2 linked regions of the Xenopus tropicalis genome follow. The protein of the gene in region 1 purifies or fractionates together with the protein of each later gene. This does not show direct contact. Links are inferred from orthologs where the notes say so. Each region holds a gene or a part of one and is shown on either strand. Other genes may lie near its edges.

The links.
Region 2: the proteins of vcam1 (region 1) and msn purify together in Homo sapiens (affinity purification with western blotting; 3 studies listed by BioGRID, with this or other methods). This does not show direct contact. The link is inferred for Xenopus tropicalis from reciprocal best matches to the Homo sapiens genes VCAM1 and MSN.

Annotation. Positions count from the first base shown.
Region 1 is NC_030680.2:108,895,592-108,899,517, forward strand, and holds the start of vcam1 (vascular cell adhesion protein 1), read left to right. Parts: upstream 1-1,361; 5' UTR 1,362-1,520; coding exon 1,521-1,566; intron 1,567-2,515; coding exon 2,516-2,797; intron 2,798-3,818; coding exon 3,819-3,926. UniProt on the Homo sapiens protein: Cell adhesion glycoprotein predominantly expressed on the surface of endothelial cells that plays an important role in immune surveillance and inflammation.
Region 2 is NC_030684.2:40,641,409-40,645,234, reverse strand, and holds part of msn (moesin), read left to right. Parts: intron 1-133; coding exon 134-408; intron 409-860; coding exon 861-944; intron 945-1,560; coding exon 1,561-1,707; intron 1,708-2,142; coding exon 2,143-2,239; intron 2,240-3,279; coding exon 3,280-3,443; intron 3,444-3,826. UniProt on the Homo sapiens protein: Ezrin-radixin-moesin (ERM) family protein that connects the actin cytoskeleton to the plasma membrane and thereby regulates the structure and function of specific domains of the cell cortex.

The sequences.
Region 1 (3,926 bases):
CCTTATAATAGTTTCTGAATTATTGGTGTCAACTTTCTGGCTCTTTCCAGTTGGCAATTTAATATGCTATCTGGGTGTTGGGGGTCACTGACCTCTGCACCCAAAAAAAAGTTTTGTTCTGTAAGGCTACAATTTTATTGTTATTGATACTTTTAATTACTTGTCTTTCTATTCAGGCCCTCTCCTATTCATCCTCCCCATCTTATTGTAGGAAAGAATTTAGTCAATTATATCAAACATATTTGTGCTAAATGGAGCATTATGTGTCATTGCCATCATATATGATAATATACACAAATACAGCAATGGAACTGGGCTTTAAATGGCCCTTTTCAGCATGGAGTTAATAGAGTGAGGGCAGGCACTGACAATTGTTTTCTGCTCAGAAGCTCATGATTTTACTGTAAAACAAAAACTGTAGTACCGTGTTAGCCAGTGTCAAAAATAATAATAAAAAAACAACAAAACACAAATACAAGATTATTGTAGAAATGATACCTATATTGGCTAACAATAAAAATACATTGCAAGCTTTCGGACCACAGGCTTCAGGACATGAAGGTGTTAATTCTAAAAGGGAACTTTGGATCTGAACGAGAAAGGAAGATCTATGAATTCAAATGTATGGAGTTATTTAACACATTAAGACAGGGCCTTAATTTGGGGTCAGGTTTCATGTCACACTATCTGATCTGACTGAATCCAGACCCCTGGACTATTTACAACCCACCCTAATAAACCTTAATTACTTTCACTATCTTCACAAGTTATCTCTATCTATCTGTAACTTCCTAATTTATTGCTTGTAAACACTTCTCTCTGATCTATCAGTATAAATGTTGTGCCATTTCAGTTCTCATTTGTATTTTGCCTGATGAAGGGGCCTTAGAGCTCCGAAAGCTTGCAATGTATTTTTATTGTTAGCCAATATAGGTATCATTTCTACAATAATCTTGTATTTGTGTTTTGTTGTTTTTTTATTATTATTTATGATTTTACTGTGAAAGGAATTTTTCTGAACAAACATCCAGGGATGAAGAATAGAACCCAAATGAGCGTCAGAACGTTCACTGTCCACCTAAATAGTTAGCTTTTCTTGTATCCCTTTTCTGCAGATAACTACAGGCTATATACATTAGTGTTTCACTCCCATATTAAAGCTGTGCACAGTTTAAATATAAACGGCTACATACATGGAACACACAATCTCTGTGGGACAGATATTTGTCTGAGATGATTAGTAAAATTGCAGTTCTGTACAGCAGAGGGCAGTAATGCATCTCCCTCCCAATGTCGTAAGTGTGACTTTCCCTGGATGGAATCTCCCTTCTCATCTGTTACCTTATATAAGGGGGGAGAAGGATAATGTGCATCAGTGTTAACTGAGCTCTCAGGCAACACAGGACATTCTGGGACTTACATCCAATTTCGTTACTTTACCTTGGAAGCTAAGAACCAAGTACATTCTTTTATTGAGCAACTAGAATACAGGCACCTCTAGCTTTTATTAAGGATTCCATATGGAGACTGTAAAACTATTCTCTGTTCTGGCACTGTTCATTGCAAGTAAGAGAAACCATTTCTATTTAATAATTTTGGCTGTGTGTTATAGTATGTGCAAAACTTATATGTATTAATAATCATTAGAATAAGGAGAAAGTTTGTTGCAAAAACTGAGCACATTTCATTCAACGAATTTCATGTATCTATAAATTGGCAACATATTTTGCAGGACTGTATTTAACATATAGGCTGTACAGGCTGTTCTGGCAATAACACTACTTCTGTTACACCACAAAATCTGTCCTTTTAGCCGAGATACTTCTTTGTAGGCTGCTGCAAAATTGATGTCTCCAGCTTCAGACAATAACAATTTGTTTTAGCAATCTGAAGCTATGATTTAAAAAAAAAAGAAAAAAAAGCAAATTTACAATTGTTGTGTGGCTGAATACAAAAGCCATAGAAGAGTGAGAGAATTCTTTAAATGTGGGTCTGATCATTTAATACTATACAGGGAAAGAGTACCCAGTGCGTAAATTAGTTTTCCATACTTTCCAAGAAAAGATAAGACTGCAGCCAGTGTAGCCAGCTCTATCTACATTTTTCATAAGTGGAGACCATGTGTAACGTAATGTAAGTTAAGAACGTGTAGGTATAGTTATAGTATAGTTTCCCTTTAAAGAGAGTAGGGAGTTGAGATGGCACAATTAATGAGTAACTGAATAAACAATGAAGCAGTATTTCATGTTCACACAGAATATAATATTTTTCATTGAGAATGTGAGTTGATAAGTTGCCTTACTCCTTTTTGTATTCATTTCCCATGGGGGGCAATTGCCTTGTAATAATGTTGGATATTATTTTCAGTGATTATATTTTGTGCATCATAATCAGGCAGTACATTTCCCAGCATCCACCAATAGTAAATGCTAGGTGCCAATTAAGGACTTCAAAGTGGATACGCCTGTTATAAATTATGCTTACAAGTCCTTGTTGTGTTTCTTCTCTCCCAAAGCCTCGCTGGCTGAATTTCACATGTCCTTGGAACCTGCACAGAGGGAGATTTCTCTCCAGATTGGGGAGACATTCCAGTTCATATGCGAAGCATTTGATTGTCCCAATCCCACCTTTAACTGGGCAAACCTAATGGATAAAACATTAAGTGGCAGCGTAAGCACCGAAGGCAGCAGGTCTATCCTGACCATGCAGGTCAGCCATGAGAGTGAAGGAAGTTACCGGTGTAAAGTATTCTGCAATCAAATGAAAGCAGAAAAAAGCTTCACTATCAATGTGTACTGTAAGTCATTCTATCTGTACCAGTTGTTAAATCCTTGTTCTGTGTTTAAAAGTCCCTTTATGTTTTAGAGCACAAACCTCAATGCTAAAGAAGGCACTACACACATGAGAAAAGTGTTGGTGAGAAAGCTCTCAGGCTCAGAGTTCTGTTTCACACATATTATGCTAGAGCTGCATTATTTCCATTCCTCTGTTCTATTTTGGCTGTTGTGCTTCTGTGCAACACACTATGGTGTCCAGTTAAATAAAAGTTGCTTATAAAACAAGGACAGTTTTCTGTAAGGCCTAAACCCTGGGTCAGTGTTACACTAAAGAGTATCTGGACATGAGATCAAGCAATGTAAATGTGGGGTGTTTAGCCAGCAGCCTTCCAACTGTTACATCCCTTAGCAATTCTATGAAGCCTTTCCTGTTGGCTGGGTACCAGAAAGTGTAAAGTAGCAACTGCATGTTGGTGAATGGTAGATCTAAAGGTCTCAAGCATTATCTTAGGACCTGGGGTTTTCTATGTAAGTGTTTTTTTTTACAAATACTGAAACACGGTTAAAGAGGTAGCTCGCCCTTAAGTTAACTCTTAGCATGACATAAAATGGACAAATCTATGCAACTTTTCAACTGATCTTTGTCTTTTATTTTTTCTAGCTTTTCTATTTTTTTAATTATTTGTCTTCTTTTGACTCATTCTAGCTTTCAAATGGGGAATGAGGTCACTGACCCCGGCAGACAATAAACTGTTGCTCTGTATGGGTACAATTTTAGTGTCAGTAAAGCCACCCTACTGCAGGACCCAGTTGAATGCTCATTAGGGCTGGGAGCATTATTTTTATACATCCCCATATAACTGTGAATCTTCTGAAGTAGCTTTTATTGACCCAACAAAGGCAACTCTACAAAAGCTTTTTTTTTTAAAAAAAAACTATAGTAATGTTCCCAAGTTTCAAAGATGCTTTGGAAGTTTCATGCCAGTTTTCTTTCTTTTTGGACTTTCAGTATAACACAGATTATTTAATGCTTTATTGCAGCTTTCCCAAGTGATCCTGTTCTACACATCTCATCCCTTGTGGCTGGGGTTCAGTCCAATATCACCTGTACAGTCCCCCTTGTTTACCCCTCTGAAATGCTGAGCTTGA
Region 2 (3,826 bases), on another chromosome or scaffold:
GTGATGGGTGGTGCACTTCCTTCTCCATGCTGATAGCGCTGATATCTGCAGATGCATTGGCAAGGAAAGGTCCCTAATGAAATGAGTATTTCATTGAATCAATAAAGACTGGTTGTGTCCGTGTCTTGCTCAGGTGACAGCCCAGGATGTTCGGAAAGATAGCCCGCTTCTCTTCAAGTTCCGTGCCAAGTTTTACCCCGAGGATGTGTCTGAGGAGCTGATCCAGGACATCACCCAGAGGCTTTTCTTCCTACAAGTGAAGGAGGGGATCCTAAATGATGATATTTATTGCCCCCCAGAGACTGCAGTGCTGCTTGCATCATATGCCGTGCAGGCAAAGTATGGAGATTACAACAAAGAATGCCAGAAGCCAGGCTACTTATCAGGGGATAAGCTTCTTCCACAGAGGTAAGTGAAAAAGAAAAATCGGCACAGGGGGTGCAGCCCTGAGCAGGAGGAATCACTTTTGGTCTCCATTCTCTAGCTGCAGGATCTTCATCCTCCCTTAATCTAGCCTCACTATAGTGGGCGCAAATCACTCACTATTGAGTCTTAGCAAATTCTATTTGGTGCATAGTATTAATCTGTGTGTAAGTTAGGCATTTACCTGGTGTGATTCTAGTATGACTTAGCAGTTTGCAGCATGTTAAAACTATGTGCAGCAGTAATAAAAAATAGAATAATTCTAAAAACTACATCCACTACAGTTTGATTGTCATTTCATAGCATTGGCATCTCCACCTTAACGTAGACATATTTTAGTAAGTTACTGGGAAGATTTTTGCTTTCCAAGACAGTTGGCTAAGATGGCACATTGGATATTATGTTGCAACTGAGACAATTTACTCTCTGTTTTACAGAGTTCTGGAGCAGCATAAGCTCTCAAAAGACCAATGGGAGGAGAGAATCCATGTTTGGCATGAGGAGCACCGTGGAATGCTAAGGTAACATTTTATTGGTGGCTTGCAGCGCTACCTAATCCACAACCATGGCCTAAGCATTGATGTAGCAGGCAGAAATACAAAGCCTGTGTGTTCAATTGGATTAAAAGAATTGCACAAGGTAAAGTGTAAAGGCCTCAAGTCAGTGGTTTTGACTTTGTGTTTAGTTACTTTGCTTTCCACTAAATGGATCAGCACCTTGAAAAAAATATTAGAGATAGTGAAAAGGATTGTGCTAGACCTGTTTTACTGTTGTGGCTCTTATAAAACACTAACTCGGTCCCCTCGCATCCAAATCTACTCTGTAATTGCTCTAAGAATAGGCTTTGGGGAATACCTAATATGGCATATAAGCAGTAACCCCAAATCCCAGCAAGGGTTTTTGTCTTGACCTGTTACAAATGGAAAAAATTAAACAACAAACATTTTGTACTGTTCATCCAAATATACTTCTTCCCATAAAGATGTGTTGCATTAGCTGCCTAAAGAACACTCCTAGAGAAATATGTAGGCATAGCTGTACTAATACTTTAAGGATATCAAACATGGAAATGATTGGCTGTTGAAGTTAGAGACAGACAAAGACCTCTACATTCAACCATTTGTCCTGTGTGTGCAGGGAGGATGCTATTTTGGAATACCTGAAGATAGCGCAGGACTTGGAGATGTATGGTGTCAACTACTTCAGCATCAAAAACAAGAAAGGCTCAGAGCTTTGGCTTGGCGTGGATGCTCTCGGCCTGAACATCTATGAACAGAATGACCGGTAAGTTGCACCTCTCTGCTCCTGGACCAGTCGGGTTCCCTAATAGATCCAGAAAATGTGTCTGGCCAAACTCCAATTCTGGCGTAAGTAACTTTAATGACACCCTCTAGGAAGCCACCAAAATGAGAAAATTCTGTTCTCATGCATTTAAGTGCTATAAGTTAGCATAAAAATCACCCATTGTTAAGGCAAATTATTCCTGTACAACTTCCATCAGCGCTTACTTTATTGTACACATAGAGCTTTCCTTCTGTACTTGGGAAAAACATATCCAGATTTGCTTGGGCTTGCATAGAGATATAGAATGCTCTGTCACAGATTAGCTCCTTTAGTGCTTCCACATTGTGCCAAAATCTAGTTTTCTTTAATTCTTCTGCTATAATACTGTTAAAAACGAGTGTACTGTAAGTGTGACTGTGTCCCTTTTGTATCCAGGTTAACACCAAAGATTGGCTTTCCATGGAGTGAAATCCGAAACATTTCTTTCAACGACAAGAAATTTGTAATCAAACCAATTGACAAGAAAGCTCCTGTAAGTCTGTGAATTGGCCTCCCCTGTGCTATTGTGTGTTTACCTGCTGAGGTTTTGTTACATGGAATGAGTTTGGCTTGGAGTAAGGCAGATTAGGAGTCCCTAATCACTCACTGCACATAGAGAAAGCCATCAAAGAGACCTATATCAGTTACTAAACTTACAATAAGCTATTAAATGTAGGGCGAACATCAGGAATATTGGGGCCCAATATCAGTTATTTGGGACCATTCATGAACACAAAGGCATAATACCAAAATATTTGGCCATGTTCCTTATCTGAAAGATCATCAAGCAGTTAGGCATGGTTAGCTTGGACAAAAGGTTGAACATGATGTTGTGATCTCCAACTAGTGGCTCTGGGGCAACATGTTACTCACCACCCCGTTTGATGTTGCTCCAAGTGGCCTCAAAGGAGATGCCCATTTTCACATTTCTGGCTTGGAGGCAAGTTTGGAAGCACAGAGACACCGTTTTACTCCAAGCAGAGCCTCCAGCAGGCCAGAAGTACACATTGAGCTACCAAATAGCCAATCGCAGTCCTTATTTGGCATCCCCAAATAACTTATTTCATGCTTGTGTGGCTCACCCACACTTTTTAAATCTGAGTGTGGCAAGTGACCCAAAAGGTTGGGGATCCCTGACTGGATGGATGTGTGTTTTTTTAACCACAATTACTATGAATCAAACCCATTTTACTGAAAAGCTGCTGGAAGTGAGGACTTAGGAACTATAGGGGGCCCAGTGGGACTCTGCATTATATGTTTATTGATCTTACTGTGGGGCCCAATAACCACTGCTAAAATGTTCATATAATTCGGTAAATTGATCCCAATATAATTCATTGGGGGTCGGTGGAGTTTGTCCTAAGTTTAAACCCTTCCCACCTACCTGGCCCTGCCACATTGCTCTGCCTTGTCACGTTTCCAAAAGTGGAGGAAATTGGCTTCTACTAAGGGCCAGAGCTAAGGGCTAGAGCTGGAGGATGTTTTGAGTAGTGTTCATGCACATGCTCCATGAAGTCTGTTCTTGTTTGCCAGGACTTTGTGTTTTATGCTCCACGATTACGGATAAACAAGCGGATATTGGCCCTCTGCATGGGGAACCATGAGTTATACATGCGCCGCCGAAAACCCGATACCATCGAAGTGCAGCAAATGAAGGCCCAAGCACGAGAGGAGAAGCACCAGAAGCAGATGGAGAGGTGACGGAGAAACCTACATTCAAATAGCCAGGGCACTTCCATAGAAATTTAACATAGGGGAAATGGGGCATAACTTTCTGCTTCATTATCTTTTGGGATCTGTACTTTTTTATGCTTAATTAGATGAAACCATTTGTTAAGTGATGAGACTTCACTGACAGAACCCAAGCGCTTGGCTGCTCCATATTTGCATGGTCTGTATTGGATATAGGGACTTATATACCTAGTGCAATTTTGTAAATTCAATCAAATATTTATTGGATGATATAGGTAATCTGCAATTTAGCACCCATAAATTTACCCTGAAATTCTTTATACCACCTTAAGTCAGTGGGAAACTGCCTATATTTATATGGTTGATTTTTGGCTGTCCATGGATGAGC